Linked DNA regions of Arabidopsis thaliana. The protein of the gene in region 3 interacts with the protein of the main gene of each other region in a pairwise test. Each region holds a gene or a part of one and is shown on either strand. Other genes may lie near its edges. The genes, in order: CRK10, ABCG10 and ARA4.

The links.
Region 1: the proteins of ARA4 (region 3) and CRK10 interact in a protein complementation assay, tested with the Arabidopsis thaliana proteins (one large-scale study listed by BioGRID).
Region 2: the proteins of ARA4 (region 3) and ABCG10 interact in a protein complementation assay, tested with the Arabidopsis thaliana proteins (one large-scale study listed by BioGRID).

Annotation. Positions count from the first base shown.
Region 1 is NC_003075.7:12,133,983-12,145,541, reverse strand, and holds CRK10 (cysteine-rich RLK (RECEPTOR-like protein kinase) 10), read right to left. Parts: upstream 7,548-11,559; 5' UTR 7,372-7,547; coding exon 6,537-7,371; intron 6,417-6,536; coding exon 6,279-6,416; intron 6,196-6,278; coding exon 6,077-6,195; intron 5,984-6,076; coding exon 5,773-5,983; intron 5,681-5,772; coding exon 5,443-5,680; coding exon of another isoform or gene 5,442-5,442; exon of another isoform or gene 5,311-5,441; intron 5,307-5,310; coding exon 5,156-5,306; coding exon of another isoform or gene 5,096-5,155; exon of another isoform or gene 5,080-5,095; coding exon 4,762-5,079; 3' UTR 4,620-4,761; downstream 1-4,619. Other genes in the region: CRK12 (cysteine-rich RLK (RECEPTOR-like protein kinase) 12), read left to right, coding at 1-162; CRK11 (cysteine-rich RLK (RECEPTOR-like protein kinase) 11), read left to right, coding at 1,832-2,675, 2,758-2,889, 2,997-3,118, 3,207-3,417, 3,497-3,734, 3,809-3,968, 4,049-4,345; EP1 (receptor-like protein kinase-related family protein), read right to left, coding at 9,540-10,337.
Region 2 is NC_003070.9:19,858,552-19,868,688, forward strand, and holds ABCG10 (ABC-2 type transporter family protein), read left to right. Parts: upstream 1-4,269; 5' UTR 4,270-4,326; coding exon 4,327-6,099; downstream 6,100-10,137. Other genes in the region: AT1G53250 (histone-lysine N-methyltransferase, H3 lysine-79 specific-like protein), read left to right, coding at 1-294, 381-605; AT1G53260 (uncharacterized protein), read right to left, coding at 842-1,509, 1,641-1,706, 1,789-1,870; AT1G53265 (uncharacterized protein), read right to left, coding at 2,547-2,924; DJ1B (Class I glutamine amidotransferase-like superfamily protein), read right to left, coding at 6,391-6,588, 6,741-6,881, 6,968-7,168, 7,306-7,386, 7,827-8,009, 8,100-8,249, 8,350-8,550, 8,629-8,790; AT1G53282 (Plant thionin family protein), read right to left, coding at 9,453-9,489, 9,579-9,784.
Region 3 is NC_003071.7:17,929,107-17,938,858, reverse strand, and holds ARA4 (P-loop containing nucleoside triphosphate hydrolases superfamily protein), read left to right. Parts: upstream 1-7,831; 5' UTR 7,832-7,954; coding exon 7,955-8,288; intron 8,289-8,649; coding exon 8,650-8,960; 3' UTR 8,961-9,252; downstream 9,253-9,752. Other genes in the region: AT2G43140 (basic helix-loop-helix (bHLH) DNA-binding superfamily protein), read left to right, coding at 3,220-3,526, 4,910-5,211, 5,983-6,114, 6,258-6,323, 6,403-6,471, 7,126-7,179. UniProt on the Arabidopsis thaliana protein: Intracellular vesicle trafficking and protein transport. Binds GTP and GDP and possesses intrinsic GTPase activity.

The DNA.
Region 1 (11,559 bases), on a different chromosome or scaffold from region 3:
ATGCTCACTAACAGTTCCCTCATTTTATCTGTTCCTCAACCACCTGGATTCTTTGTTCCGCAAAACAAAGAACGTGATAGCTTTTTGTCGAGCCAATTTACAATGGGATGTACTTCTCAGACTAAAAATGATGTAACCATTACAAATCTAGATCCTCGTTGAAGTTGCTGTTCCAATTGACAAATTGGAATTGTTACTGAAAACAACGCAGATTCCACATGTGAGGTATTATTTCACTTGAAAATGAAATGTGATGATCCATAGTTATGTAAGATTTGTGAGTCACTCAAAGTTATTTTTCATACAAACTCTTTATCATTTCTACATTGTAACATTGGTTTGTTGTATTGAAGATTTCTGATACGAATGGCTTCAAAATTTTATAAACATACCAATTCATGTATAGTAGTAACGCAAATGTTGTTATGCATGTAAAAAAGCTCTGTAAATTAGACGGATTCGGTTTGGCTTTACCGGTAGACGAATTTCTACGAATATTTACCCAAACCGGTTTATTTACTAAACCTATACCATATGAACCGGAAACCAAACGCTATTACCGACTTTTCTTCTTCACTCTCTTCGTCGGAATCAGCCTTTGCGCATTCTTCTGAGCTCGGATTTAGGGTTTAGCATTCTGGTTCTAATGGCGTTTAATGATATTGATTATCGGATTTGTTTGTGCTCTTTTGTTAGATTTTGATGTGTTTAATGGCATAATCACGATTTAGCTAAGGGCTCCGGGCCAACTGCGTTTTCCGGTGGGAAATGTAATCCGTCTCCGATGCTTATTTGGGGTAAGAGAGCAAACATGGGATAATACTGCATCAATTTGATAGACCTCTATCACTAATCTGTTGTGTCCTTATTTATAAGCTTTGGTAAATATGTGTGTTCATGATTTGATGATTAAATTATGTACAGCCAGCTTTGGAGGTCGAGCCAGTCTGCAAACAGGCCCACTTCCCAAACTATCAATGATGTAACCATTACAGATCTGGAACCTCGTTGAAGATAATTGAAACAGTCAGAAGCCATGTTTAGGTGTTTTATCTGTTTGTAGACTGGCTCGAAGTTATAAACAAACTCTATCAATGTCTACACTGTAATATCAGCCCTTTGTTATGAAATATTTTGCATTCTATTTGGACTCAATTGTTGCTGTTGTTACTCACACTAGTGGTTCGTTGCTACTCTGTTTCAGCCAATTACGACATGTTCTTCTGGTTTCGGCGTGATTCATATGTACGCATTCTTACATGACTCAACCCAAGAGACACTGATTAGGCTATAAATTGAGACGAACAGAACACAACGAAAAAAGGTATGCTAATCTTCTGTTTTTTTCTTTTAGGCTTTTACAATGCTTTGATTGCCAAATGTATATGTATAGTCTGGGAATGTGCTGAGCAGCCTATGACAAAAGCCGGTTTATTTGTGAAATTAATGACACTGACACTTTAGCCCAATACTTTTCTTGTTCCTCTCCATCTGCCTCTGCGTCACTGGGTTTGATTCTATGAATACTTTATCCTTTATGTCATTATCTGAGTCAACATTCCAATCAATATTCAACAACCCCCTTATTATATAATGTGAACAAAGAAAATATTATTGACTTTTAGCTTTTGACATTGACTTTGACTTTTGACACTCGTTTTCGTGACCATATTTGTAGGTTTCAGGACCACTGTCATCAATTTGACGAATTCAATATTTGAAAATTTTGGAGAGAAGCTTCGATTTTGCTTGTTTAAACTGGTAAGAAACGTACAGATGCGTCAAACACTAAACACAAAGATCTAGCTTTTGCTTTAATCTTCAAGAAACAATGAAGCAGAGGAGTTTGTTTTCAGTCCTCTGTTTTTTCTTCATAAGTTTTGGTGTTGCTTCAGTTTCAGCACAAACATGCACGACGGACAAGGGGACTTTCAGACCCAACGGTACTTACGACGTAAATCGCCGTCTCATCCTCTCTTCTCTTCCTTCAAATGTCACGGACCAAGACGGCTTATACTACAACGGTTCCATAGGACAACAACCGAACCGTGTCTACGCAATAGGGATGTGCATCCCAGGATCAACTTCAGAAGACTGTTCTGATTGTATCAAGAAAGAGTCTGAATTTTTTTTAAAGAATTGTCCTAACCAAACAGAGGCGTATTCATGGCCAGGTGAGCCAACGCTTTGCTATGTGCGCTACTCCAACACTTCTTTCTCAGGATCTGCTGATCTGAACCCGCGAAATTGGCTCACCAACACTGGAGACCTAGACTCAAATCTAACAGAGTTTACGAAAATATGGGAAGGATTAATGGGTCGTATGATTTCTGCAGCTTCCACAGCAAAAAGCACACCTTCTTCAAGTGATAACCATTACTCAGCTGATTCAGCAGTCTTGACACCTCTCCTGAATATATATGCATTGATGCAATGCACGCCGGATCTTTCCTCCGGTGATTGTGAAAACTGTCTGCGACAAAGCGCAATTGACTATCAGTCGTGCTGTAGCCAGAAGCGAGGAGGTGTTGTTATGCGGCCAAGCTGCTTTTTGCGGTGGGATTTGTATACATATTCTAACGCTTTTGATAATCTTACGGTGGCTTCTCCTCCTCCAGAACCTCCTGTGACTGTGCCACAACCTGCAGGTGATCAGGACAACCCGACCAACAATGGTTAGTCTTCCACCTGAGAAAACTATCATTGTAACAAAAAAACTTAAATATATGACATTGTTTTTCTATGTGTTGTGAGAAGATAGCAAAGGAATCTCAGCTGGAGTTGTTGTGGCGATCACCGTTCCCACTGTTATTGCCATCTTGATACTGCTGGTTTTAGGATTTGTTCTTTTCCGGAGAAGAAAATCCTACCAAAGAACTAAGACTGAATGTTAGTTTCTTTGTGTTTTACCTCTTTATTGTTTCCTTTCGTTATCAGCATGTATACTCCCGTAGCCAAGACGGGAAACACGAAACTAATACACCCATTCTTTGCAGCTGAAAGTGATATTTCAACTACAGATTCATTGGTATACGATTTTAAGACAATTGAAGCCGCAACTAACAAGTTTTCAACAAGTAATAAGCTTGGTGAAGGTGGATTCGGTGCGGTTTACAAGGTAACAAGGTCTCTGTTTTCCATTTTTTCTAAGTTCATATTGGTTTATGGAAATAACCAACAATGTTTGTTTCATTCATTGTACGTAGGGTAAGCTTTCTAACGGAACTGATGTAGCTGTGAAGCGACTGTCGAAAAAGTCAGGACAAGGCACAAGGGAGTTCAGGAACGAGGCTGTTCTTGTGACAAAACTTCAACATAGGAATCTGGTTAGACTTCTTGGATTCTGTTTGGAAAGAGAGGAACAGATTCTGATCTATGAATTTGTCCACAACAAAAGCCTTGACTACTTTCTTTTCGGTATGGTTCCTGTCAATAATTTTTCTTATTCAAAGGATCCTGCTTCAGCTTTATACTGATTGATTGTCGATATGTGCAGACCCGGAAAAGCAAAGTCAGCTAGACTGGACCCGGCGATACAAGATCATTGGAGGAATTGCTCGAGGGATTCTATATCTTCATCAAGATTCACGGCTCAAAATCATACATCGTGACCTCAAAGCCAGCAACATTCTCTTAGATGCAGACATGAACCCAAAAATTGCAGATTTTGGATTGGCAACTATTTTTGGAGTGGAGCAAACTCAAGGAAACACGAACAGAATTGCTGGAACCTAGTAAGTTCTGCTCGTAGTAGCTGAACACTAAACCATTTTCTATTGCATATTAACCCGTGTTGTATGTTTTTCAGCGCTTACATGTCTCCCGAGTATGCGATGCATGGTCAATACTCCATGAAATCTGACATTTATAGCTTTGGAGTCTTAGTTCTTGAGATTATAAGCGGCAAGAAAAACAGCGGCGTCTACCAGATGGATGAAACTAGTACTGCAGGAAACTTGGTCACTTATGTGAGCATAAAGTCCTCAACTTTCAACAATTTAACATTTTAAAACATATGACCAAGGTACTTAATTGTTCATTGTATTAGGCTTCGAGGCTTTGGAGAAACAAGTCACCATTAGAGCTGGTGGATCCAACTTTTGGAAGGAATTATCAGAGTAATGAAGTCACTAGGTGCATCCATATCGCGCTGTTATGTGTTCAAGAAAATCCAGAAGACCGTCCAATGTTATCAACAATCATCTTAATGCTGACTAGTAACACAATTACTCTACCAGTGCCTCGCCTACCGGGATTTTTCCCACGAAGCAGGCAACTGAAACTGGTATCTGAAGGATCAGAGTCTGATCAGTATACAAGCAAGTCTTCCTCATTTAGTTCGTAAAAATTGATGTGGTTCCTCATCATAGCTTAAAAGTTGTAACAGAAAAATGGTCAGATGACATTTATATTATTTGTCCACGGACATAAGAAACATAGCAGGTTTATCTGTAATTGTATGTTGTACAGTGTCCACTGTAAAATGCTTATGAACAGTTCACAGTTCTTTAAGAATCGTTTCTCGATTACTGGTTTTACTCTCTTCATGCTGAATCAAATTACCTGCTAGATCGTTGTGTAAGCTTAATTTGGAGGGAAAAGTCACTGTTACGTCTTCATGGAGAAACGTGTAAATGGTATATATCTTATACTTGCTTGTGGTTACAATTACAATACAAACATTCTATAACAAAAGAAGTTTTTAACTTATTTTCAACACCAATAGATTCAGGAATCAGGTATGAAGGGAAAAACTCATCATCATCGAGGATGTATATCTGTGATGGATGCATCGTCAACAGACCCTAGAAGAGATTTGCTCGTTGTATCTGTATCAAGCGGGTCTTTTCCAATTCTACTCTGAAAGAAAAGACCGGGTTGCCGTGGCACGGGTAAAGTCACAGTGTTACTAGTGAGCATCAGAACAATGGTTGACAACGTCGGACGCTCAGCAGGATCTTCTTGAACACATAAAAGACCGATATGGACACATCGAACAACTTCATTCCTTTGGCAATTTTCTACAATAGCTGGATCCACGAGTTCTAATGGTCGCCCGTTACTCCAAAGCCCCCAAGCCTAGAATATTATTCAATCAATCAACACTTGCAACTATGTTCAGGTAAATATGGAACTTGATAGGTTTAAAACTTACATATGAGACCAAGTCATGTGCACCATCTGTTTGGTAGAAGCTGCTATTCTTCTTGCCACTTATAATCTCAAGAACTAACACTCCGAAGCTATAGACATCAGATTTCATTGAGTACTGACCATGCATTGCATACTCGGGAGACATGTAACCACTGTAACCCACAACAAAAACTATGTTAACCAAAGGATGTTCAGAAAACTTCAACTTATAAACCCACAACAAAAACTATGTTAACAAAAGAATGTTCAGAAAACTTCAACTTATGAGAAGTTATGAGGAAGACTTACTAGGTACCAACTATTCTGCTTGTGTTCTCTTCGGTTTGGTCCAATCCAAAGATCCTAGCCATTCCAAAATCTGCAATTTTAGGATTCATATCCGCGTCCAAGAGAATGTTACTGGCTTTGAGGTCACGGTGTATGATTGTGAGTCGTGAGTCTTGATGAAGATACAGAATCCCTCGAGCAACTCCACCGATAATCTTGTATCGTCGAGTCCAATCCAGCTGGCCTTTCTTTGCAGGGTCTGTCCACATCCATAAATCACAATGAGATCTCTAAACATTCGTAACCCCAAGTATCAAGAATCATTGAAACAAAGCATTAAATGCAACTAACCAAAGAGGAAGTAATCAAGACTTTTGTTGGGCACATACTCGTAGACCAGTACTCTTTCTTCTCCGTCTAGACAAAACCCAAGAAGTCTAACCAGATTTCTATGTTGTAGCTTTGCAACAAGAACAACCTCGTTCTTGAACTCTACTTCACCTTGTCCTGATGACTTTGATAGTCGCTTCACCGCAACTTCAGTCCCATCCGATAAAGTACCCTGTTGTTTTCATCAGCATCATCCCATTATCCAAAAGTGTTGGCTTAAAATTTCAAGAAAAAAAAAACACAGCTCAAGGGAACTATAATTTACCTTGTAAACCTCACCAAATCCACCTTGACCAATCTTATTACTCTCTACAAAATCATCTGTTGCAGTTTGAATTGTTCTATAATCAAGCTGTAGTGAGTCTGCTGTTGTGATATCATCTCCTGTTACACAATGAAAGTCTTTGAAGCAGGAAAAACAAGCTGAGCATTGACATTAAAGATCGTTTATCACTTGAAATCTTTACCAGCAAATGCAGATGGTGTGTAATAACTCTTCCTTGCCCTTCTTGTAAGGAAACAATAACCAGCTATAAAAAGCAGAACAGCCACTATAATAGGCACAACAATGGCTATCACTAACACCTTTGAATTCCCATCTTTTCCTGCATTTCAAAGATTATTTGCTTAAAAATCAGATAGAAGAAAACTCTCTATATTGGTTTTGCCAATTTCAAGAAATCAGGGCAAAAAAAAAAAACAGAGGAAAAAAACAGAGCTCTGACCAGATCGCGGAGGAGCTGAAACTGGAGGAGTAGAAATTGACGGTGGTGGTGGTGGTGGTGGAACGGCGGATTCGGTGTAAAACGCGTAGATCTCGTATCTTGAAGTACAGCTCGGATTAATAATTCTTGCACCAATTCTGTCAGTAGGTATTTGATTGATGACCAGTTGGAGACAACGCGAACAGTCTTGTCTCGTGAGATCAGGTGTGCACTGAACCAGTCCATAGAAACTCTGCAACGCAGTAAAATTGTTTTTTCTCGTACCGAATTTTTTGGAACTGTTCAAGGCTACGGTGGCGGCTTGGTTCAGAGTAGGCAAAACCAAATCACTTAACAGGTCTAGTTGGTTAGATGTCACATTCCGGGTGTTAACCAAGATAACTCCACCGGTGGTTATTAGTGTCGAGAGAATATTCTGGTTAGAGTATCTAAGTACACACTCATCGTAATAAAGTGTGGCTTCTTTCTGGTTAGGACACCGAGTTAAGGTGTCGTTGACGGCAAAGGAGACGCATCTACGGCAAACTTCCGTTGAGACATCTCCACGGCAGTTGAAAAGTCCGGTGACTCTGTCTGGAGCTTGGCCGACGGTGGCGTTTTGGAATCCGGTGGAGTAGGAAGCGTTGCGGGAAGAAAGAGAAGCCAAAAGGGTCTTGAGATTGTTGTTGTAAGTGCTGTTACTTGTGTAATTTGCCGTATTTTGACAGGTGTGGTATACGTAAGTGGGATCTTGAGCAGAAACTCTGAAACTCGTGAGAAAGGAGAAGAGGAAAAGGAAGAAGAAAGAGGAGTAATAAGACATAATTGGGCTTTCTTGATCTGTGTTTCTTCTCATCAAGCTTTGAGTGATATATGAAACAAATTTGATTGTTTGTTCTCTCTCAGTGACTACCGTAGATAACGTTTTGTGCTGACGAAAAGTCAAGGTCAAGGTCAACGCGTCTCGTATTAAATTGTCGGGTCTTGTCCAACTTCTTGTGTTTAGCTACTAATCCATTACTTATTTTTTTAATATATGAAATATAGAAAAAAATTACGGAAAATATAAAATCATTTTAAAATGAAGAAAATTATCAAAACTGTCAAAATTTAAAACATAATAACTCTAAATTCAAGCTTTGAACTCTAAAGTCTTTTTTTTTTTTGATCAAAAAAAAGGTAGTTGGGATTTTCAAGAGAAAATAAATGTAGCAGTTGGCATGATTTCAAAGATCTTAATTACTAGTAATAGAATTTAGATATACATGAGAGAAACTAGCTAGCAGTAGAATTTGTTTCGTACTTTTCCTTGAACAGAATTGTTGAAATTAGGAATCTTTGTTGACTATTCTTCAAAGAATCATTCTGGGGCTGAAAAAATTGTCGCCACTGATGCGAAGAAATTATTGGTTGATAATAGGTTTTTGTTTTAAGCACGATAATTTATTAATTTGTATATCGTATATGCTAGTATGGTTATTGTGATGTAGTGATACTAAAATAGTATTACCAAATCATCTGCCTATCGTTATCTGATATTGTTAGTTACTAATTATTCTATTACTTTTTATAGTCTTACTCGCGAGAAGTTAAATAACTTGATATTCCACATGACGTCGTTCCATATAATGGTTCCATCATAAGTCCTTTCGTGTTTTCACCCGGATATGAATCTACAGCATATAAGTTTTAATATTTAAAGTTAATATCGGAATATATAAACATGAATTTGCTATATGAATGTGAAATATTTTGACATCATCCGAATACAATGTGTTTTAAAACGAATTTTGCATCCATAAGCTCCATCTAGCTAGTTGCAAAGGTGAGAAATATTTCCTTTTTGGTTCTCAGCTTCTCATGACTATTCCAAAACGAGAAAAAAGGCAATCAAAATTTTTAAAGGCATTCACATATACATAAGGAAAGAGAAAATAAAACCGAGAAGTATTTTATGTTTGATGTATCTCCGATCCTAGTAAAGGCCCAAGATATTGATGCAAGGTATATGAGACCTAGCTCAGCCGTGATTTCTCCGTGAAGAAGACTCAGCTTTGTTAATAATTGAATGAGGCGGTGTATGATGCCAAAACCCTAGTTCGTTCTATTTGATTTTAATGATATTATTCAAAACCCTAGTTTTTAAAAAGTAACTAATTTTTTTTCGTTACTGCCAAGGAAAAACAATCGGCTTTTCATGCAACAAATCTCGTTAAAATTGGTTATGGGCCTGCATGTGAAAATGGAGCCAGAACCAGAAGAGGACTTGGTCAATGCATCGAGAACATTTGCGTAATATTCTTTTTTTTTTCTTTTTTAGTAGTTTTTAATCATCAGCGTAATCTAAGACTCCGACCAAGTCTTACACAAAACAAAAAGAAGAGAAGCTGAGAAATCTGACAAGGAATTAGAAAATGAAAAAGAAAGTTTTTTTCCATTAGTAATAACAGAGGAAAAACTTATGCTTCTGTTGGTTCTCCCTTGCATCTCGCTTTCCTTAGCTCATTTTTACTGTTACGGTGTTACGCACAACTAGAATAATCACTTGGAACACTCAGAATGTTGCAGCGGGCCAGTTCAACGATCAGACGAAGTAAACATCAAGATAGCAAGAGCAACCACTATCGACGACGAATTCAGTTTGTGAGGAAGAGCGTTGGTGTAGCTTGAGACACGTTTCAATCACGTGTAGCTAAAAATATCTAGATAATTGTAATAGAAAATAAATTAAATATTTTATGTATTAATTGGTTTAGTATGAGAAAAGCCAAAACATTGACCAAGTCTAAGATTAAGAAAGCTAGATGAGCAATTCACTATCAAAGACGAGAAGACTGAAGTAAAGACAAAATAAGAAGACTCATTAGCTGCTTCACAATCCTTATCTCTTTGATTGTAAGAAACTGAGTTACTTTATTTCGATGATACCAATTTTAAACGCAGAGAAAAAGCAACACGTCAATTTGTAAAGCAGAGCAAAACGAATTACAACTTGGCCAAAACTTCGACGTAAAAAGCAGCACATCAATTTGCTCTGCTTGGCGACGGTGGTGGTGGTGGAGATGGTGTTCCAATGGTAGTTTCGTTGTAGAACGAGTAAAGCTCGTACCTTGAATTACAACTTGGCCAAAACTGTCTTGCTCCAATTCTAGAAAGTGGCATTCTATTGATGGATCTTGTCAGACATCTCAAACAGTCTTGACTTGTAAGATCAGGAGTGCATTGAACAAGCCCGTACAAAGTCTGGAGTTCGGTCAATTCGGTCTTTATCGTAGAGAATTTTCTAGAACTGTTGGCTGCTTCCATGGCAGCTTGGTTCATATTAGATTGCACCAAAACTATAAACTGGTTTATTTGACTTTGATTAGGAGAAATAGTGTTGGTGTTACTCAAGATAAATTCTCCTTCGTTTGTAATGGCCGTCGATAGAATATTCTTGTCAGAGTATCTGAGTATACACTCCTCGTAATAGAACACAGCTTCTCTCTGACTTGGACACCTAGTTAACGCTTCGTCAACGGAGAAGGCAACGCAGTTACTGCAAACTTCCGGCGAGAGGTCTCCGCGGCAGAGGAAAAGTCCGGTGACCAGGTCGGGGGTTTGTCCCACCGTGACGTTCTGGAATCCGGTGGAGTAAGAGGCGTTGCGGGAAGCAAAAGAGGACAAAAGGGTTCTGAGATTGGTGGAGTAAGTGCTGAATCTTGAGTAAGTTGTCGTATTTGGACAATAATGATTTAAGTAAAAAGGATCTTGAGCGGAAGCTTTGAAGCTAGTGAGGAATGAGAAAAGGAAAAGGAAGATAAAAGAGATCAGAGAAGACATGGTGTTTTTTTCGACTTCGTTGATTTGAGTTTCACATCATGCAGCTTCCATTTATTAACGTGAATAGTTTGTGACGACCATAAGTCATCAATCAAAGTCAATGTAAACGATTTTTTTTTATGTCATTCCTTTTTATTAACAACAAAAGTCAAATTATTGGAAAAGGCCTTGTTGAAATAACCTATTTTGTTTTATGAATAAGATTACAAGCAACTGATATCTCGACAATAATTTAGTGAAACTAAACTTTTTGAGTAAGAAAATTAATTAGGGCTACAAACTGAATAAACTAGGGTTGTGAAATTATTGTTTTAACTTATAACTGTTCGTTTGTTACTTGTCTGGTAAGGAACTTTAACTGTGCTGTCTTTTTGACCCAAAGTCTCGGCGCCAAGCGGAATAATCATCAACCTCACTTCAATAATATTCAATTCCAACCCATATTTTTCTCGGAAATAGATTGATAGACGTCAAAACATAGAAAATTTATAAATCTATTTTCTCTGGTTGTCACTTCCACGTGTTTTAGTCTAACATTTGAATAACAATAAAAGTTGATGTTCATCATATAGGTGACTTTGACTTTCAAAAAATTGTATTAGTTAGTTAGTTTATAACAAAGTAAGAAAAGAAAAAACTTTGACGTGCTAGATGGTTTCACATTTCATTTATTTTACTACTTTTACAAATCATGTAAATCACCTTCCCACATTACTCTGTTTTCCCTCTGTTCCCAAATCAGAAGGTACAAGATCATTGGAGGTATTGCTAAAGCGATTATATATCTTCATCATTCACGACTCTCAATCAGACATTGTGACTTCAAAGCAGGTAATATCCTCATAGACGCTGAAATGAAATCCAAAGTTACAGATTTTGGATTGGCCAAATTTTTAGAATGGACCAAACTTTAATGCCAATTGCCAACATTCTAAGTGTTCTCTCCATTTCTCATTTCTCTCCATATCTAATTATTCTTTAATAAAAAATCAAAACAAAGTACACATATGGTTTTAACAAACCAAATCAAAACTAAACAATTTATTGGGTTGATCACACCTAGAAATATGAAAATATATGCTTAAACTTCATTACAACCGTGAAGGTAAACATCATATTTAGCGCGGATATAAATCAGTGATCAATTCATCGTCAATAGATGCTGGAGTAGACTTGGTCGTGGTAGACTGATCTGAATCAGTCGGGTCCTTTACGGGACTAC
Region 2 (10,137 bases), on a different chromosome or scaffold from region 3:
AAAGGAGGAAGTGGCGAGGCAGAACTTGACTGGGACAGCTATGAAAAAATAAAACAAGATTTTTCATCTGAGCAGCTTCAGTTAGCTGAAGAGAAAGCAAGAGCTAAGGAACAAACCAAGATGATAGCAAAAGAAGCTGCAAAAGCCAGGACCGAGAAGATGAGGAGAGCTGCAGAAAAAAAGAAAGAACGTGAGGAGAAAGACCGACGAGAAGGAAAGATTCGAAAGCCAAAGCAGGAAAGGGAGAATCCAACCATTGCTTCACGTTCTAAACTAAAGAAGAGACTAACAAAGGTATAAAAAAACTACTCCGTTGATGACTCTGAAGAATATTAGAAACCCACTTGATGATTCTTTGGTTTGATTAAATGTCTTGTCAGATTCACAAGAAGAAAACAAGTCTTGGTAAGATCGCAATTGGAACGGATAGGGTTGTTTCAGTTGCAGCTAAACTGGAGAAACTGGATTTGGATTTGATAAGGAAAGAGCGAACAAGAGGAGATATCTCACTTGCTGATCAGATCCAAGCTGCTAAGAACCAACGAGGAAGTGATGTTTTATCGAGATTTGGTCTTTTTGCCATGAAATCGATGGATTTTGATTAACTCTTTTCTACTCCTAGTTTATAGCTTTCTCTTTTTTTCTTGTGCCACTAAATAAATAAACAAGGTTGACTTGAGGATATAATAAATAAATAGATTGACGAGTGCTGGCTACAATAACTCATGCAGAACTTATTAGACTAAAACTCTCAGTCTCTCTCTCACAAAGCAGAGTGACAAACTGAAGAACACTGACCACAAAATGGTATCCGCTCCTATACATGAAAACACAAGACGGTTTAACTCTGGTTCCTATTGGGTGGGTAAGGCTGTTGCTGCATTCCACCACCCTGACCTTGTTGTTGGTATCCACCGTTCTGCTGGTAGTTTCCAGACCATCCTCCATTCATGTTCGGTGGTGGTGGTCCCTCGTAATTCTGACTCATGTTTGGTGGCGGCAGTGAAGGTCCCCTGTAGTTCTGGCCCATGTTCGACGGTGGAGGTCCCTGATAGCTCTGGTTCATGTTTGGCGGTGGAGGTCCCTGATAGCTCTGGTTCATGTTTGGCGGTGGTGGTCCCTGGTAGTTCTGACCCATGTTTGATGGTGGAGGTCCCTGATAGTTCTGGTTCATGTTTGGTGCTGGTGGTCCCTGATAGTTCTGGTTCATGTTTGGTGGTGGAGGAGGACCTCTGTAGTTCTGGTTCATGTTAGGTGGTTGTATATGAGGAGGCATGTTTGGGTTGTTGCCTATGTGAGGCGGTGGAGGTGGAGCACCTCCCATACCTTGGTTTGGTGGTGGACGTCTGTAACCCGTGTCTTGGTTTCCCCTATCGTTCCTGCCTCCATCCGAGTTGCGAGGCCTGCGAGGGCGTCTGTTTTCATTAGTTGCATTAGCATTGTTTCTTATCCATTCTTCATGATACTTTGGGTCATAAGGAACAGCCTTTCCATCAATGAAAGGTTCTCCTGAAACAATCAAATTTCAGAAAACCCATCAAAAACTAATTACTACTCTCTGACAAGATCAAATCTTAGTGTCCCTTACAACAATGTATATTGTGACTAGAAAGCACAATCATCAGAGTTAAACAACATACCTCCATAGTCTTTATTCTTCCCATCCAAGTAGGAATCAGGAAGAACCCACTTAACCTTAGGCAACTCTGGATTGTTCACATACAAAAGTATAAGAAATCAATGCTTATAATAAACTCAAGCTAAGCAAAAGAATTAACAAGCTTTAACCTTTGATCTTATGTGAAAGATCTTCTGAAACAAGAGCTCCAAAAGCAAAGTAGCATTTGTGCGACACAGAGTAAATCTTCATCCTTGCCTCCTCTTCACTAAAACGCAAAAATAAGATACACACTTAACAAAGTAAGACTCTAGAAACAGATCAAAGAACACTGTGGAAATGGATCTATATATATACCTGCCAACAACTTGAGCTAGGGTTTTGATGTAGTAATCAATAATCTCGTCTCTAGAGAGATTTCCATGACAACAAACCAATGCTCGAAATCACAACCATCAAGCAAAATCGTATCCTTTGGTGGCCGATTCGACCAGTTAGGGCTCGGATCATTCAGCGAAGCGGAAGTAACCTGCGTAGACATACACCTAGCTAGAGATACACCGGCACGGACCAACGCTGAGAATCCAGAAACGAGAGAACGTGAACGATTCAACAACGAAGACGCAGATCGAGAAACAGTAGGGGAATTGGCGAGAGGAGATGACGAAGAGAAGGAACGAGTGAACAGTGAGGAAAAGGATTTAGCTGGCCGGTGAAGGATGGAACGAGAAATCGCCATTGGAAGATGATAAAAATGGAGAGGTTTTAGTGAAAATGGAAAAACCCCAAGCATAAATGGGTTTAGATGGATCTTTCAAATTTCAAGGATATTATGTAAAACTAAAAATTGTAGTACATATCATTACTATTTTACATTATTTTCAAAATCGTCCCATTGTTATTTCAATTGACATGAGAAACCCATTTGTCACGAAATCATCATAAACAACCATATGTTGAATTCTTCTCTTTCGTCGAGGTTAGTAGAGAACATATCTGGTTGCTCAGTGGGAGTGACATTAAAAACGTCGTCTATGTATTGTAGATTAGGTATTTCAATGATACCTAGTTGAGGATCTCTCAAATAGCTTATAATCTTTGGTAGGACAAGATCCTCCATATTCGTATGCAAATGGACATTGGCAAAGTTATGTGGTAGCTCATATTCCCGTTCTGCTAAGGCCATCTTTTTGTGCTCTTCAGAGCAATACCGAGATTCAGGTGCGTAGACACATGTACAAGACCAGTACGCGAAGGCCTTATCTTTATGCACATAATGCATAACACGAAGATTGGCAACACCCATTGCAGAAACCTGCTAATACACATTGTTAGGTCTAGAGAAAAAAACTCTCTCTCGCAACTTTGAAGATTTTGTTTGCTCTTTGGATTGTCGAGATTGTTTCATTTCGTGTTTTTATATTATTTTTTACTTTTAGTTTTGGATTTGAATCTTAGGTTTAAAAAAGAAAAAGAAAAATTGTGATCAAAACGACATGGTTTGATTGAAGATGATGCTAATTCATTAAACATGGGTCATTTGAGTCGACGTATGTTAGTATTAACTAACATTTGTTATTGCAGATCCTAAAATACGTGCGACCTATAAAGTTTGGATATAATTTTTTTTTTTTTATGAATTTGGGTAAAGAATTAACATTGTACAGTATGTTTTATATAAGAAAACAATACTTTGCAAATTGTACTGGTATAAAAATATCGTTTTTCCAGTCACCCGCTTACGTTTGGTCCAAGTTGTTTTTAATTTTATACCGAATTAAAGTTTATTAGTCACAACTTTAAGTGTTTTTTCCAAACCCAAATCAAAATTCGATTTTTTTCGTCACAACTTTGAATCAGCCCCTTCACCTTTGCAGCCACATCTAACCGAATGCCCACCTAGACAACATCTTATAATGCGTCTTTTTATTATTATTATCCAAAAATAATTAAATTAGTGAGGTTTCTTACGTGATTATTCCTTGTTAATTAAACATCTGAATTTCCGTAAGCGAGTTCGAAACACGTAATTAAATATTGTAGGTAATATATAACAACCAAACTGGGTTTCCTCTCTTTCTTTGTTAGAAAAAACTAATAAATTAGATAAAACAAGTTCACCAACAAGGCAAACATTTCACGGTCAATTTTTCAGCTCACCCGAATTTGAGAATCTCTAGACGAAACCAAATCTCTTTCTAACTAATTCTTTTTTTGCTTTTCTTGTACCTCTTCACAATTTCAAAACCCAATTAAAAAAAAAAAAAAAAAAGAACCAACTACATATCTTAATTTCTTAGATATTTTTTTTGGTCAACCAATTTCATTAGAAATTAAAAAATACAAGAAAAACAACAAATGTTTAATTTCATATAAATTTATCTAACTGTATCAATATTATTTACGAACAAATTCTTTATTAAGAAAAACAAATTAAGCATTTTAAGCTTGGAATCATAAATATCTTTGGTTTAATTTAGTCATAGTCAAGTGCTTTTCGGTTTTCATGGAAGGCAATAAGAGAAAGCTAATAAAGTCTTGAAGCTTTTGAATGTTTGAATAATAAAGGAGAGGTTCCTTAAAGTTTGGTGTGTTAGTTCATCTTCTCTACCATTTATTCTTCACTTAATCTCACACTCTTTGCTCAATTTGTTGATTTCTCTATCTCTCAAAGTTTGATGCTTTCTTTTTCCTTCTTTCTTTCTTAGATGGAATTGCCGGTAAAAGCTCCTATTCCCGGTGGCCGGGAAATCTCATATAGATTAGAAACCAAGAATCTGTCGTATAGAATAGGCGGAAACACTCCAAAGTTTTCTAATTTATGTGGTTTGTTGAGTGAGAAGGAGGAAAAGGTTATCTTAAAGGATGTTTCTTGTGATGCAAGATCCGCGGAGATCACTGCGATCGCGGGTCCAAGCGGAGCAGGGAAAACCACGTTGCTGGAGATTCTAGCCGGAAAAGTTTCTCATGGGAAAGTTTCAGGGCAAGTGCTTGTCAACGGTAGGCCTATGGATGGTCCTGAGTACAGGAGGGTTTCAGGGTTTGTGCCACAAGAAGATGCTCTGTTTCCGTTTCTTACGGTGCAAGAAACACTGACGTACAGCGCACTCTTGAGGCTGAAGACAAAGAGGAAAGACGCGGCTGCAAAGGTGAAGAGGCTGATTCAAGAGCTTGGTCTAGAACATGTTGCGGATTCAAGGATCGGTCAAGGATCAAGATCTGGAATCTCTGGAGGAGAGAGAAGAAGGGTTTCTATTGGAGTTGAACTTGTTCATGATCCAAATGTTATATTGATCGATGAGCCAACCTCTGGTTTGGATTCTGCGTCCGCTCTTCAAGTTGTGACGCTTCTCAAAGATATGACGATTAAACAAGGTAAAACCATTGTTCTGACGATTCACCAGCCTGGTTTTCGCATACTCGAGCAGATAGACCGGATAGTGTTGCTCTCTAACGGGATGGTTGTTCAAAACGGATCAGTTTATAGCCTTCATCAGAAGATTAAGTTCTCCGGTCACCAGATTCCTAGGCGGGTAAATGTCTTGGAGTATGCAATTGATATTGCAGGGAGTCTTGAACCGATCAGAACCCAGAGTTGCAGAGAAATCTCATGTTATGGTCATAGCAAAACATGGAAGAGTTGCTATATTAGTGCAGGAGGAGAGCTTCATCAATCTGATTCTCACAGCAACTCAGTGTTAGAGGAAGTGCAGATACTCGGGCAAAGATCTTGCAAGAACATCTTCAGAACCAAGCAATTGTTCACAACCAGAGCCTTACAAGCTTCCATTGCCGGTCTTATACTGGGGTCGATTTACTTGAACGTAGGAAATCAAAAGAAAGAAGCGAAAGTCTTGCGAACCGGGTTCTTCGCCTTTATCCTCACTTTCCTGCTATCTTCCACAACAGAGGGACTTCCAATTTTCTTGCAAGACAGGAGAATCCTAATGAGAGAGACATCGAGAAGGGCTTACAGAGTTTTGTCTTACGTTTTAGCAGATACTCTCATATTCATTCCCTTCTTGTTGATCATAAGCATGCTCTTTGCTACGCCGGTTTATTGGCTGGTCGGTCTCAGAAGAGAGCTAGACGGCTTCCTCTACTTCTCATTGGTGATATGGATTGTTCTTCTGATGTCAAACTCTTTTGTCGCATGTTTCAGTGCTCTTGTCCCAAACTTCATAATGGGGACATCAGTAATCTCAGGTCTCATGGGATCTTTCTTCCTCTTCTCCGGGTATTTCATTGCAAAGGACAGGATCCCCGTTTACTGGGAGTTCATGCATTATCTCAGCCTCTTCAAGTATCCATTCGAATGCCTGATGATCAACGAGTATCGAGGAGACGTGTTCTTAAAACAACAAGACCTCAAAGAGTCTCAGAAATGGAGCAATCTTGGTATCATGGCAAGTTTCATCGTCGGGTACAGAGTCCTTGGATTCTTCATCTTATGGTACAGATGTTACAGAACAAGAAGCTAGGTTAATAACAATGATCTGCAGATATAATTCAATTTGTTTTGTAATTTTATAAGAAATTTTACTTTCTCATATTCTTTCTTTTTGTTCAGCACTTTCTTATATTCTAAAATTCGCAATGTAAAGTAACAAAAAAACTTTCTGATAAAAACAGAGTAAACTCGTTTATTTATAAGACAGTTTTAAGCATCACACTTAGTACAAAGCTCACCACAACAACGGTACACTCATTGATCGTTTGATACTAAAGCCTTTTTCTTATTAAAGTCACTCTTACCTAAGATACTCATGAGTTTACACAAGTGTTGCCTTTGAGAGCTGAAGTCCTTTCTCGCGCCCGTAAAACTTCTCTACAATTGCAAGTGCAAACTCCAATGAGGTTCCTGGACCCCTGCTCGTTATGAGATTGCCGTCCACCAAGACTCGATGCTCGATGTGACTCTGGTCCGTCAGTTTGCTGCACATTGCTGGAAACGCTGTTGCCTTCTTACCCTGTAAAAAAATCCATTAAAAATTGTGACCCTTCCCTTAGTTTTAAGTGCAAAAATAACGGTTTGATAACAGAATACTCCATGCCATCGGATATATAGTAATGATCCTACACATCTAAGCAAATGTGTGTGCTATTGTGATTACTCTCGTACCTTGAGTAAACCATGTGGCTCAAACACCAGAGCAGGAGAGGCACAAATTGCTCCATATGGTTTGTTTGATTCCGCCTGCTTCTTTAACATATTCACTAGCTTCTCCGAACTTGCAAATGCTTCAGCACCGCCGAGACCACCCTGATAATAAAAAGAGAAGTTCATCATGTTGGCCTCAACTTGCTTGACACTATAAACTTTAGTAATTTGAAGAAGTTAGCACTCACAGGCAACACAATCAGATCGTACGAATTCTTTTCAGCCTCGTCGAGAAGCACATCTGCCACCAGCTTGACTTTCCGAGATGCTACCACTTCCAAACTGTTACCAAGCGCAGCTACGACAACATTTGCTTTTGCCCGCTTCAGGACATCAATGATAGCAACAGCTTCCATTTCCTCCGAGCCATCTGCAATGGGTACAAGAATCTGAAAAGGAAAAACATGATCTCTCAGTGTACGGAAGATTGATTAAGAAAGACGCATGAGCTCAGTAAAGCAAGTGTGAAAAGTTTTGCCAGTCTTTTTTTTCTTTTCATTTTGCCAGACAGGCAATTGAAAGCTACCTGTGGGGTACCCTCGAATGACCAGCTGACTTGGTTAAGCTCAGTAATAGTATACTCATCACCAGGGTTGGGACGCATCACCTGATATGCAAAGGGGAAGAATAGAGACTAAGAGGTTACCATGGAATAAAGCCTATGCTACCAAGGAATGGTTGTTTCTTTGTGGAAACCTAAATTTTTCAGTGTCCTATATAGCTTTCAACTGTCTGTAATCTCACAAGAACAGTCACTGATCAGTGGACAGGGGAAATAATGCTGAAAAATTCAGCCACAGGCCTAGGCTTCAAGGAAATCACAGTATTAGTGAGGTCGAAAACACGTATTTGTATTTTTTTACATGAACTAACAATACTAGGGTGCTTTAAAGAGTGTTAAATCAAATAAGTGCTCCCCTCGAATCAGCTACTAAATATATCCTTCTTTGCGGAGAGCCATCTTCTCAACAGAAACTGGCCTCTAAGATCTGTCGATTATTTGGAGACCAAATTAAGGTTGATAGAAGAGTCAGGGATAAGACATACCAAGGGGCCAGAGACTTCAACAGCTTTCTCTTTCCCAAGAAGTTGCTCCACAAGCGTGACAGAGAATTCCATGGTAGTTCCAGGCCCTCTACTGGTCACTATCTTCCCATCAATTTCCACTCTTGACTCAACAGCTGTCGCACAAGCCGCTAGTTTCTCCATAAAAACCGGGTAACATGTAGCCTGCAAGCAACGTATGTGATTTATACACCAAAATACAAACTCAAAAGAAAAGAAAACTTCTTGGATACTGATCACTCACTACACACATACTTTTTTACCCTCTAGTAGTCCCCAAGTACCAAACGCCAACGCCGGCGCACAACAGATAGCAGCGTTAAGTCGTCCATCAGTGTCTTGCTTCTTCACCATCTTCTCTAAAGGTTTACAATTCTTAAGAGTCTCACCACCAGGAAGTCCTCCCTTAACCAATCACATCACCAAAACAAATATGAAATCAATACATCTAATTGAGAAACTATTTCGATACCAAATGGATTCAGATTGGCAGAGAGAGACGTACAGGGAGCATAATAAGGTCGAAAACCGAGTCGGTGATATCAGAGAGAAGAGTATCAGCGACCATTTTGATTCCATGGCAAGCATCAACGCCGACCTGATTCTCAACGGAAGCCACCGTAACATCCGCTCCGCCTCGCCGTAGCACATCGATCATAACCACCGCTTCAAACGGCTCCGTACCATGAGCAACAGGAATCAAAACCTAAAGAAAACTCAGATTTATCAAGAGAAATTTACAGGATCGATAGGGATAAGAACGAAATCGATGAGAACGATGTACCTTCTTAGTAGATGAAGACATAGTTGCAGAGATAGAGAAGGATCGTCGATTTACACGAAGAGAGATTCGTCTCGGAGAATAGTGATGGAGTTTTTTAGTGTTAAAAAAGGGAGTGACAGTGATTTTGTTAAAATAGCGATGACACAACGACGACGACGCCATTGACGTTTTTTTTTTTCCTTAAAGAACTTTTGATGAAAGAGAAGCAGTGATGAAACGGGCTTTATCCTGACGTGTTTTAATGTGATTGGATGGAAAATGACAATCAGCCATTAATCTTTTAACACGTCATCAATCAACTCAAGACGGCGTGTAGTTTGGTTTATCAGAAAACAACTTCCCGGTTCAGAGTTTTGTTCATAAACTTGTTGTGGTTTTGATGTATTGATGAGAGATAATATTGTAGGAGAAAGAAAAGAAAATACATGCCTAGTCCAGGCTATAATGATTAGTGGGTCTAGTCCAACTTTTACAAGCCATAAAACAGCCCAATAACACAGATCTATGATGTGAACTTATGAAGTTGTGAACCCAATTAAGGAAGGTTTCCGAGTGGAGTAGATGAGATTTGCATGTTGAAAATTATGCAAAGTGCAGATTTGCATTGATGAGATGTTGCTTTGTATTGATGAACATTTTGAGTCCGATAATTTATAATACTACAAAAGTAAACCAAAAATGTTGGTTTTCACTCTTCTATCTTCTTTTAATCTTTGCTTCTTTTATAATTGGTATAAAAAAAAGTTTTATAATTTAAAAAATATTTTTATTGATATGAAAACTTCATCAATCTTACAAATATCTCGACTATTTTGTCAACTTATCTACCCATTTATGTTTCTCATTTCTATAGTCTCCATCCTGCAATTTTTTTATATAAATCATGTCAATTTCTTTATACAAAATATTTTTTTAATCAAACTAAATAAAACAAGTGAAGAGATTATTACTGGGATGATTGAGCTGACTGAAGTCTACGACATTTGCGGTCACATTTATCTTTACAGTATTTTTCTGGATGTGTAAAAAAAAAGTTACACTTGGTCTCGCAAAGGTCCATGCATGTAGCATATGAAAGCCCTTCTACTTCTTCTACCATAGCAACCATAACTACCAACACCACCACCATCAATACAACACATTTTTTAAGACTCATTTTTTCTTGTATAAATAATTATATATATGTTCACTACAAACTTTGTATATATATATATATATAGGTAAGAATCATGCACTGGTAAATCTTATGTTATTTAATGTCATTAATAATATGTTTACGTTTTATTTATTATATTTCCACATGATCCTACTTTATTATAGTTTTATTTATTATATTTCCAAATAATCCCACTTTATTAATGAAATGTTTAATTTTAGAACTAATTTCTAAATCTTATAATTTTTTATAAATAGTTTATTTAATATATTTTAAAATGATATAATTAATTTTGGAGATATTTGAGATAAAAAAAACTTTAGCCTTTCAACTTATTTACAATGGCACTCCAC
Region 3 (9,752 bases):
TTCATATCACAATGACTATATATTAACCACATATTGTAGTGATCATAATTTTCGTATCAACTGCTGCAAGCCAAAACTATAAATAAAGGCAACTGAAACAAAAATCAGTGACATATTTTTTTTGTATATAGTGTAAAGATGTTAGAATTCTTATTAATTACAAGAGTACCAATATCTCCTTGGTGGTGGCTATGCCCGAAAATGGCGTGAAAAAGAGATTAGAGGCTTCCTTTCTAGGGCTAAAGTTAATTATCTTTATAGACTTCTAGTGCAATGTTATAGAAGCTTTATTAATTATGACTAAGTAAAATACTTCCCAAATCTCATTTACAAGCGATTTTAATAATATTAGTGGTTGTAGCTTTCTTAGTCTTATGTATCTATAAGAACAAAATATTGCATATTTCTTACTTTATGTAAATACTTTAAGATATATCTTGGAATTTGACTGAAAAAAAGTAAATCAACGACATTTAATTTATGTGAGCTATTAACTTCACTTTTATTGTGGTTTTAATACAGTATATTCTAACTATTTCTCACATTTTTATCGTCTATTATTTTTTAAAATAGCAAGATTTTTAAGCATAGAACTTGAGAATACATAATAGGTTTTTTTTTGTTGTTAAGAAGTTTAATATTGGTGGTTGGTAAATTTGAAATTTTGTATGATTTTAACTGAGTCATAAACTGTTTTAAGAAAATCATGATCGGTCTGATTCATGTAGGGTTGTTAACCCCGTTGAAAGTTAGACAACCTTTAGTTGCCATGACCAGAGCATTTTTCTAATCAAAACTGCACTGAAATACTAAAACCGAAACCAAAATTAATGTAACGAGTCAATTTCCACTCATCGCATCATCACTAATTTTTGGTCTTGAAAACATATTAAAAATCCTTTATTAAATTTTTTTTCAAGCATATACCATACAAAAATTTATAGTCATTAAATACCTATATTTACACAACGCAAAAAAAATCAATAACTGTGTATACGTAAGAAAATCGCTGAGCACACATCCACATTTGGAATTTCGTACTTGGAACCACCTAGCTGTCATGAAGTGAAAGTGATTCGATCAAATAACCAATGATATCTCTTAATTAGTTAGTTGTTGCATATACACACTCTACATAAACAACTAAAAATCAAGAAAATAATAAAATATAGTTAGGTTAACCAATTTATTTTTTTGCTAAGAAAGGTTAAAACCAATTTATACAAGGAAGAGACAAAGTTTATCTAAAATTTTCAATCCGGTTAGTTTGGTTATTCTTTTATATACTAGAGAATGTTTATTCTTGTATACTTACATGTCTTTTGTAAGAATAATATACTTACATGTATACAAGCAAGACATGTAAGTATGTTATTCTTGACACACTTTCTTTTGCAGCTTTCGCCAAAAAGAGACAGAAAATCGTATTACATGACCAACCGAATTTTCTAAAATTGAGAAAGATAGAAATAAATAGATTGATCGGCAACTAACTCGCCTCTCTAGTCTCTAGATAAAAATTTGTTGGCCGGCAAAAAAAGATATAATTTGTTGTCTTCTCTGTTTCATTTAAATTGATAATAATAATAGCAAATTTCACAGGTAAAAAAACACATGGGTAAAAGATATTTGAACATGGACCTGAAAAATCAAAATAGATAGTCCATATTGATTCAAATGGGCCAACTCTGTACTCTTTTTTTTTTTATATATATATATAACCGTTATTCTATTGAAAAAGGATAAGAAAATATATGTTACAAGCTTTTAAGGCCTGATCGGCTAAATAGCCCAATACAGGCATAAAAGCCCAAATAAAAGTTTAGTCGATGGCCCAAGTAAAAGAAATCAAGTACCCAATTTTTGATTCTTTAGATTTGATGAAAACGATGGAAGGAGAAAGACGAGGAGTTGACGGAGAGATAGATGCGGTGAAGATTGAAATCAAATATTGCAGTGGAGTTACGATATCTATTTGTTTCCGCCCAAAAAGAAGAACTCCATCCTACAATCAAAAGAACTAGTTAAATATTTCTGTATGAAGTAGAAATTCTACAACCTAAAAGTAAGAATAATATACTTACATGTCTTGCTTGTAATGTCTTGTCGCAACAGACTTACGTGATCCGTTAGCAAAATTTAAAACGTTAAAGTAATATGTTCATACTCCTCAACATAACCCTAGAAATGATGAAACAATAGTATAGATATAGACATATAGTAATCAGCAACAAAGTCACATAAAGATCCTCATCATGGAACAAATGGGATCTTTGCCCATCTTAAACATAAATGTGGAATCTAAATCAACTGTTTAAAAACAAATACAAGGTCTATATCCTAATCAATGGACGTTCACCATGGTTTAATTTAATAAAAAGTGCATGTGTATTTTTATTATAAAATCAACTAAACGTATAAATGTAAAATGGATGTTTTGTCATGGTCTGCCTTTCTCTTGGATCATATGGGTGGTCGAAAACATGAACAATGAAATAGACTTTTAAAATCAGAATAAACTATAAGTATCCATAATAAAGTACAAAGTTAAATAACAATTTGATTCCCATATTAATACAAAATGGAATCTTAATGACCCACTTGACGATAACTAAACTAATATCCATGTTAATTTCATCACCCAAAAAATAATGAAGGCTTCGATTCTCTGTAAATGTATTCACTAACATTTGTACAGTCCATCATCATTTTGATATTTGCTTCTCTCTTATGAGAATATAAAATTGGCATTTTAGGCTGTAAAGTTTATCAATGAATATGCCCGGAATCATTATATCGATACCGTCATACATAATAATAACTCCATTTAAAATTGAATTTTTGATAGAATTAAGATTAACCTAATAAAACGAAATATCTTATAAGAAAAATGATGCTAAGTTATAAGAAAAATTCGCAAATAACGTCAAGCCACCATCTGTCAACCACGTGAGGTGCACGTGCGTTGACGGGACCGTGAGTAGGAGACTCTCTCTTGGTCAAGCACCCACAAGGCACAAGGACAAGCCATCGCTCTAATTTGTCACCCTTAGTTTAATTAATTTAATTTAACAGTCCTAACTATAATTAGTAACCCTCTTGCATTATCATATAGTATTAATTAATAACTACTCAAAGTCTCTTTCTCTCAAACCCTCTCCTCAAGATTTTTTCCTAAGCATCAGATTAGCTTTTGTAGGGTTTTTCTTTTCCGGTTTCATGTACCCTCCTAATTCCTCTAAGTCCACCGCTCATGACGGCGGCGGCGATGCCGACACCAATCAATATGACTCAGCCGCTGGAGCTACCCGTGATTTCTCCTCTCTTGGCCCTCAAACCCACCATCATCCGCCACCGCAGCGGCAGCAGCAGCATCAGCAGAATCCCAACCTCGTCGGCCATTATTTACCGGGCGAGCCATCTTCCATCGGATTCGATTCCAACGCTTCTTCTTCGTCTTCTTTGTTCCGACACAGAAGCTCTCCGGCTGGATTCTACGACCAACATCTTCCCACTGATCCCAACGGTAACTTTTTCGTTTCTTTATTTTTCCAACTTTTTTTTCACCCCACCAAAGAGTTCTCCTCCTAATTAATTGGATTTAATTAGTGCTGAATCTAGTCGACATAATTTACATATTATACAATTATACACATATCAAGAATTTTTTTTTTAAGTGTTCAACTTTTTTTGCACATTAAAAAATTTGTTACAACATTTAATAAATATATGTTTCCTATAAGTTAGACAAATTTGGTATAGAAAAAAAAACAAAATTAAAATTCCATATTAGTATTCGAAAACATTTTAAAAAATGAATATGTTATTTTACATCGATAAAGTCGGCAAGTAAATTGGTGTAGCACGTAAGTTTTGACTTACTGTAATCTAAACCATGTAGTCTTGGTTTTGTTTCGATGACTTAAGTAATTTGTCTATAGGTTGGAATTTGTTTGGTTTCCCTCCATACGACTTTTGTTTTGTTTTAATTAAAGACCAATAAGTATCAACCACGTAATTGAAAACCTAATACACATGTAGTTCTCAAAATATATCTATTTGCTTTAGTCAATACTTAATCTATCTCTAGATCTTATACACACCTTTCTCTTTCAGCTTATGTCTGAAGAGATTAACCATGGTTGATCTTAGTCATATGTATACATGTGTACACACGTATATATACATGCATGAATAATCAAATACGTATTTCCAATAGTGGCAAGTTGTTTATTTTAATAATGCAATATAAAACACACACTTGCCAAAAGTATATGTTAAAAAACGAATCGTTACAAAAAGAAATAAAAGTATAGTCCACTTGGAAATAATATATCCATCCCACTTGCTCTTTTTCTTCTGACAAAGCAGCCATGATGGCCTACCCCTGCTGACATGGCTTGATCATGGTCACTATTTTGATTTTTGGATACGCCTACTTGTCATTATATATAATAAGCTTTATTACTATAGTGTTAGTTGCAAGTAATAATTTATATTATTTTTGTGCAATTTGATCTTCGGTTCATTGCATATGTCCGGTTCACATTCCCTGTAATCCATGTGCGAGCCCCAAGAAATTTTACCCCCTCTTGCATTATTATATACATACTACTTTGTATAGTATATGATAGTAATTGGAATTCGAATGGTGAATATTTCTAAGATTCTTTTTCAGGAATCCTTATTCTCTACCAAATTGGCGATAATTAAAATATATATAAGTAGAGAGACTAGAGACAAAGGAAGGGGTCCTCGAGTTTCGAAGACGACCCATTCTCTTCTTATTTTGTACTAAAGATTTTTAAAATCAAACTGGTTATTAAAATACTGAGATAACAAGTTATAAACCTACATTACATTCTTTCTTTCTCTTTCAATCTAAATTTGTTGATGGAAGAAGGAACAGGTTTTTCTCTAGGACGGCCAAACGGAGGCTACGGCGGAGGAGGAGAGCAAGGGCCGTCGAGGTTGAAGTCGGAGCTGAGATTCTCTAGTGGGAGTAGTAGCCATCAAGAACATAATTCTCTACCGCGAATCTCGGAGGTTGAAGCGGCTGCAGCGGCTAGAAACGGTGTCGCATCAAGTAGTATGAGTTTTGGAAATAATCGTACTAACAATTGGGACAACTCGTCTTCTCATATCAGTTTCACCATTGATCAACCCGGAAAACGGTCCAAGAACTCCGACTTTTTCACCTTAGAAACTCAGGTATTTTCTATAACTTTAATTTGAGGTTATTTATGTATGTGTATCAATACTTTTAGATTATTTTTTTATACAACAAAGTTAATAAATCTCGGATTCTTCTAGGTAAAGGGAGAAAAGAGTGAATATCCCCAATGTTAGTTGTTTTGTGTATTATTAGTTTCTATAGGCTTGGAGAAGGTTTATGATTGATCTATAATAGGTTGACAACTTGATACTAAGAAAGTATATTATCATATCGTATGAAATTTTATATCAGTTTAATTAACTTCCATAAAGTTAGCAATAGAATTCCATGTTGAAATATTGCCAACAGCAATGTCTATGTCACAGGTTCATGTGTATAAACTGCTTGGAGAAGGTTTATAACTTTTCACAAGTCCTTGGCAATTAAATGATTTGTGTGTTTAATTATATGTATGGTCCACAAGTTGTATGCTAACAAGTGTTATTATATAGTGCGCGTCATATACAATATGAATTCTACAAGCCCAATTTAAATTCCATATCCACAACAGAATTCCAAGTTGAAATAAATGCCAATAAAGTGCAAATAGCCAAATTTCTGTGTGTAGAAGCCAGAGTTGAGTGGTTGTGTAATAGATATAAATAGCTTAGAGAAGGGTTATGATTAATTTATGTATATTTTTCACAAGCCCTTTGCTACCAAATGATTTTTGTGTAAACATTCTCACTGATGTTGGTTTGGTTATGATATTCATTGAGTGGTTATACATTGATTTTCATCTCAATATATATGGTTTTGACTTTTAGTATAGCATGCCGCAAACAACTCTGGAAATGGCGACAATGGAGAACTTGATGAACATCCCAGAGGACTCGGTGCCTTGTAGGGCTAGAGCCAAGCGCGGCTTCGCGACTCACCCACGCAGCATTGCTGAAAGGGTTAGTTTATTCTATTATTATGGTGATTACTATTGCATAAGTCTAGATACAAACTTAAAAGGTGAATTCATTTGAAACCAAAGAAAACAAGAGTAAAAATTAGGTTTTATATATGATTTGGTTTGCGTGTTTGTGGTATATAGGAGAGAAGAACGAGGATAAGCGGGAAGCTGAAGAAGCTACAAGAACTTGTGCCTAATATGGACAAGGTAAGTGATATTATTTCTGTTTTTAATGTAATGTTGGTGTGGTTTTACATATCTATAATAAGTTTGAAAAATTTGGCAGCAAACGAGCTACGCAGATATGTTGGATTTGGCTGTTGAGCATATCAAAGGTCTTCAGCACCAAGTAGAGGTGCGTCCTTAGATACAAAATGAATCTATATATGCAAAAGTGACATTTTCTCAAATTGAAGCAAAGGGTGATCATATTCCTTCTATGTTGGGAAAATGTTACCTTAAAGCCAAATTTTAGTATTTTAGAAAATAGTTATATTAATATAATGGTTAGTTATTGTCCAATATGATCATAACCATGGATCAACCATTTACTCGGACGTGTTTTTTTTCTTCCAGAAAATTTCATGACATATCAAAATGTCATGCACGTGAAATTAAAATATTACATTCTCATGATCTCTTAACAAAAGGGTTTTTGCGTTGGTCTCATGAAAATGTTTTCGTTATGTTCATTTATATCATTTTCACCCAGTTGAAATAAAACTGATCATACATGCATCTTAAATTTTGTTAAAAACTTTCGTAATAGAATACGTTAAGTCGTTAACAGTAGACTCTTCTAAGAATCTAAGTTAAGAATCATGCATAATAGATGGTTATACATTATATACTATATATTTATCATACACTTGGTCTACGTCATGTTTGATCGGTTAGATTCTGATGTCCCGTTTATTCACATGTCTAGGTCTCAATGTCTTATTCAAGCTAAGTATGCATATGGAGAAATTAATATGATTTTTTAAAATTATCTCTTATATATGTGCAGTCACTGGAAAAGGGAATGGAGAGATGTACTTGTGGGGCATGCAAGAAGCGATGATGAATGATATTGTTCCAAGTATGATGCAATAAAGTATAGAAGAAAAGGAGATCACTTACGAACCAAATTCTAAGACAGAAAGAAACATAGCAAAAAGGAGTTATTTTGGAGGTCTAAAGAAAGTGATGATGGATTAATGAAGGCTGGTTTTGTTACTCTCTGAAAGTCTTGACCTTTATTATAACTTAAAATTCGATCAATCGATTTTTTTTTTCCTGTTTTCCTCAAAGTTGGTTAATTTTAGCTTAGAGCAAAACCCATTATTTGAGATTGAAAGAGATGCGCGTTTGTGTGTGTGAATATAATCCTACGTTTTGAATTTTGATCTGTGAATAAAAATCTCAGAAAAACATCAGGAGGATCATAGTTGTTTTCAACAAATGTATATAAAATAAAACCTTAATTGAACCAAATTCATTATTTCAAGGAAATAAATGTACTCAGACCAATTTATTTTTTCTTTTGAAAACTCATATGGAAAATCCACTTGGTTACCAATTATTTTAGAAGTTGTAAATTACACACACACACAAAAAAAATGTGTACTCTTTGAAGAAGTTTATTTCATCAATTTAGAAAAGATTCTTATAAAAAAATACATAATTAATAAATTAAAATAGAAATAAATCATAATATGAATTTTGGTTAATTATGATGGAATTAATTTCATGCGCAAAATAATACTCATTAATTGCGCTCACAAACAACCTAATAAAATCCAAACAAAGCTCTCTTTCTCCAACAAAGGCGTTACAGAGAAGAAGAAGAAGGAGAAATGTCAGACGACGACGAGAGAGGCGAAGAGTACCTCTTCAAGATTGTTATCATCGGTGATTCCGCCGTCGGCAAATCCAATCTCCTCACTCGCTACGCCCGTAACGAGTTCAATCCCAATTCCAAAGCCACTATCGGCGTCGAGTTTCAGACTCAGAGCATGCTCATCGACGGCAAAGAGGTCAAAGCTCAGATTTGGGATACCGCCGGTCAGGAACGCTTCCGCGCCGTTACATCTGCTTATTACCGTGGCGCCGTTGGAGCCCTCGTCGTCTACGATATCACTCGTAGCTCCACTTTCGAAAACGTCGGTCGCTGGCTCGATGAGCTCAACAGTATGTGTTTCGATCTCCGATTTTTGAGTGAATTTATTCAATTTGAAGTGAGATCTGTAAATCTGAGTTTTGATTTTGAATAGAGTAGAGATTGGATTTGGATTAGGATTGAATCATAGCGATAGTGATGCTGCTGGTTAGAATTTTTAGATCTGAAGATTTATGATGACTTCTTAAGACTTTGATTCAAAGTCAAGTCAAATTTATCTACTTCTTTAGGTTTATGATTATCATGAAACTGAATGATGAAGATATGCAATGATTAGTTGATTCATGTTTGCATCTTTACTCTATTGAGCTTGAAATTGTGATAGGTTGAGTTTAGAGTTAGTTTGACAGTAATGATGAATCTTTGGTGCAGCTCATTCTGATACAACAGTAGCAAAAATGCTTATTGGGAACAAATGTGATCTCGAGAGCATAAGAGCGGTGAGTGTTGAGGAAGGCAAGAGTCTTGCTGAGTCTGAAGGTTTGTTTTTCATGGAGACCTCTGCGTTGGACTCGACCAATGTAAAGACGGCTTTCGAGATGGTTATTCGGGAGATCTATAGCAACATTAGTCGAAAGCAATTGAACTCTGATTCTTACAAAGAGGAGCTGACTGTGAATCGTGTTAGCTTGGTTAAGAACGAGAACGAAGGGACAAAGACATTCTCTTGCTGTTCGAGGTAACATCTTTGTAACGGTTTCTCTTTGTCCTGAGGATTGGTTTCGGGTTGAATTGTGTTCCTGGTAAACTTATAGAAAGGCAGAGATATATTCTTATAGTTCTCAGTTAAAGTAAAAGAAGAAGAGAGAAAGATGTTTTGAGTTTCTTTGTTACGCATACAGAAAAAGTTTGGTTAGTGTATAAGTTATGTTCTCATTTGTAACTTTTGTAAACTTATGATTGTTAAATCAATTTTGATATTTTCCAACTGCTCTTTAATTCGATGGCCCGCAAATTTATCTAAACAAAACGATAAGAATATTTATTTCAATTTTCAGTTTTGGTTATTAATTTCGAATAGATGTGGCAGTTGAAGCAATGTTGTCAGTATATTCATTGCGGCCACTATAGTTAAATCATAATGTCGAACCAAAATAACAGAAATTGTAATTGATGTTATTTAATTGTATAACCTATAGATAAAAGAGTTCACATAGTTATTTGAGATAAATTCCAATCTGCCTCGAATACGTTTTAATCTTAGTTATAAAATGGTCTGTAAATGATAACATAATTATACTTATTAATAGTAACAAATACGTTTAAAATGCATAAACCTCACTACGCTATCAAATTTAATATAAGATGTTTAAAGTAACAATCATGTTAATGTCACTTCATTATGTTAATACGCGTTTGGTATTTATTATTTAACAATTGTTTTGTCTGTCTTATTCACATAATCACATTGAGATATTCTAAGAATCGTATAAAGTGTCTTATGCTTTCTTCATATGTTAATATTATAGTATGAA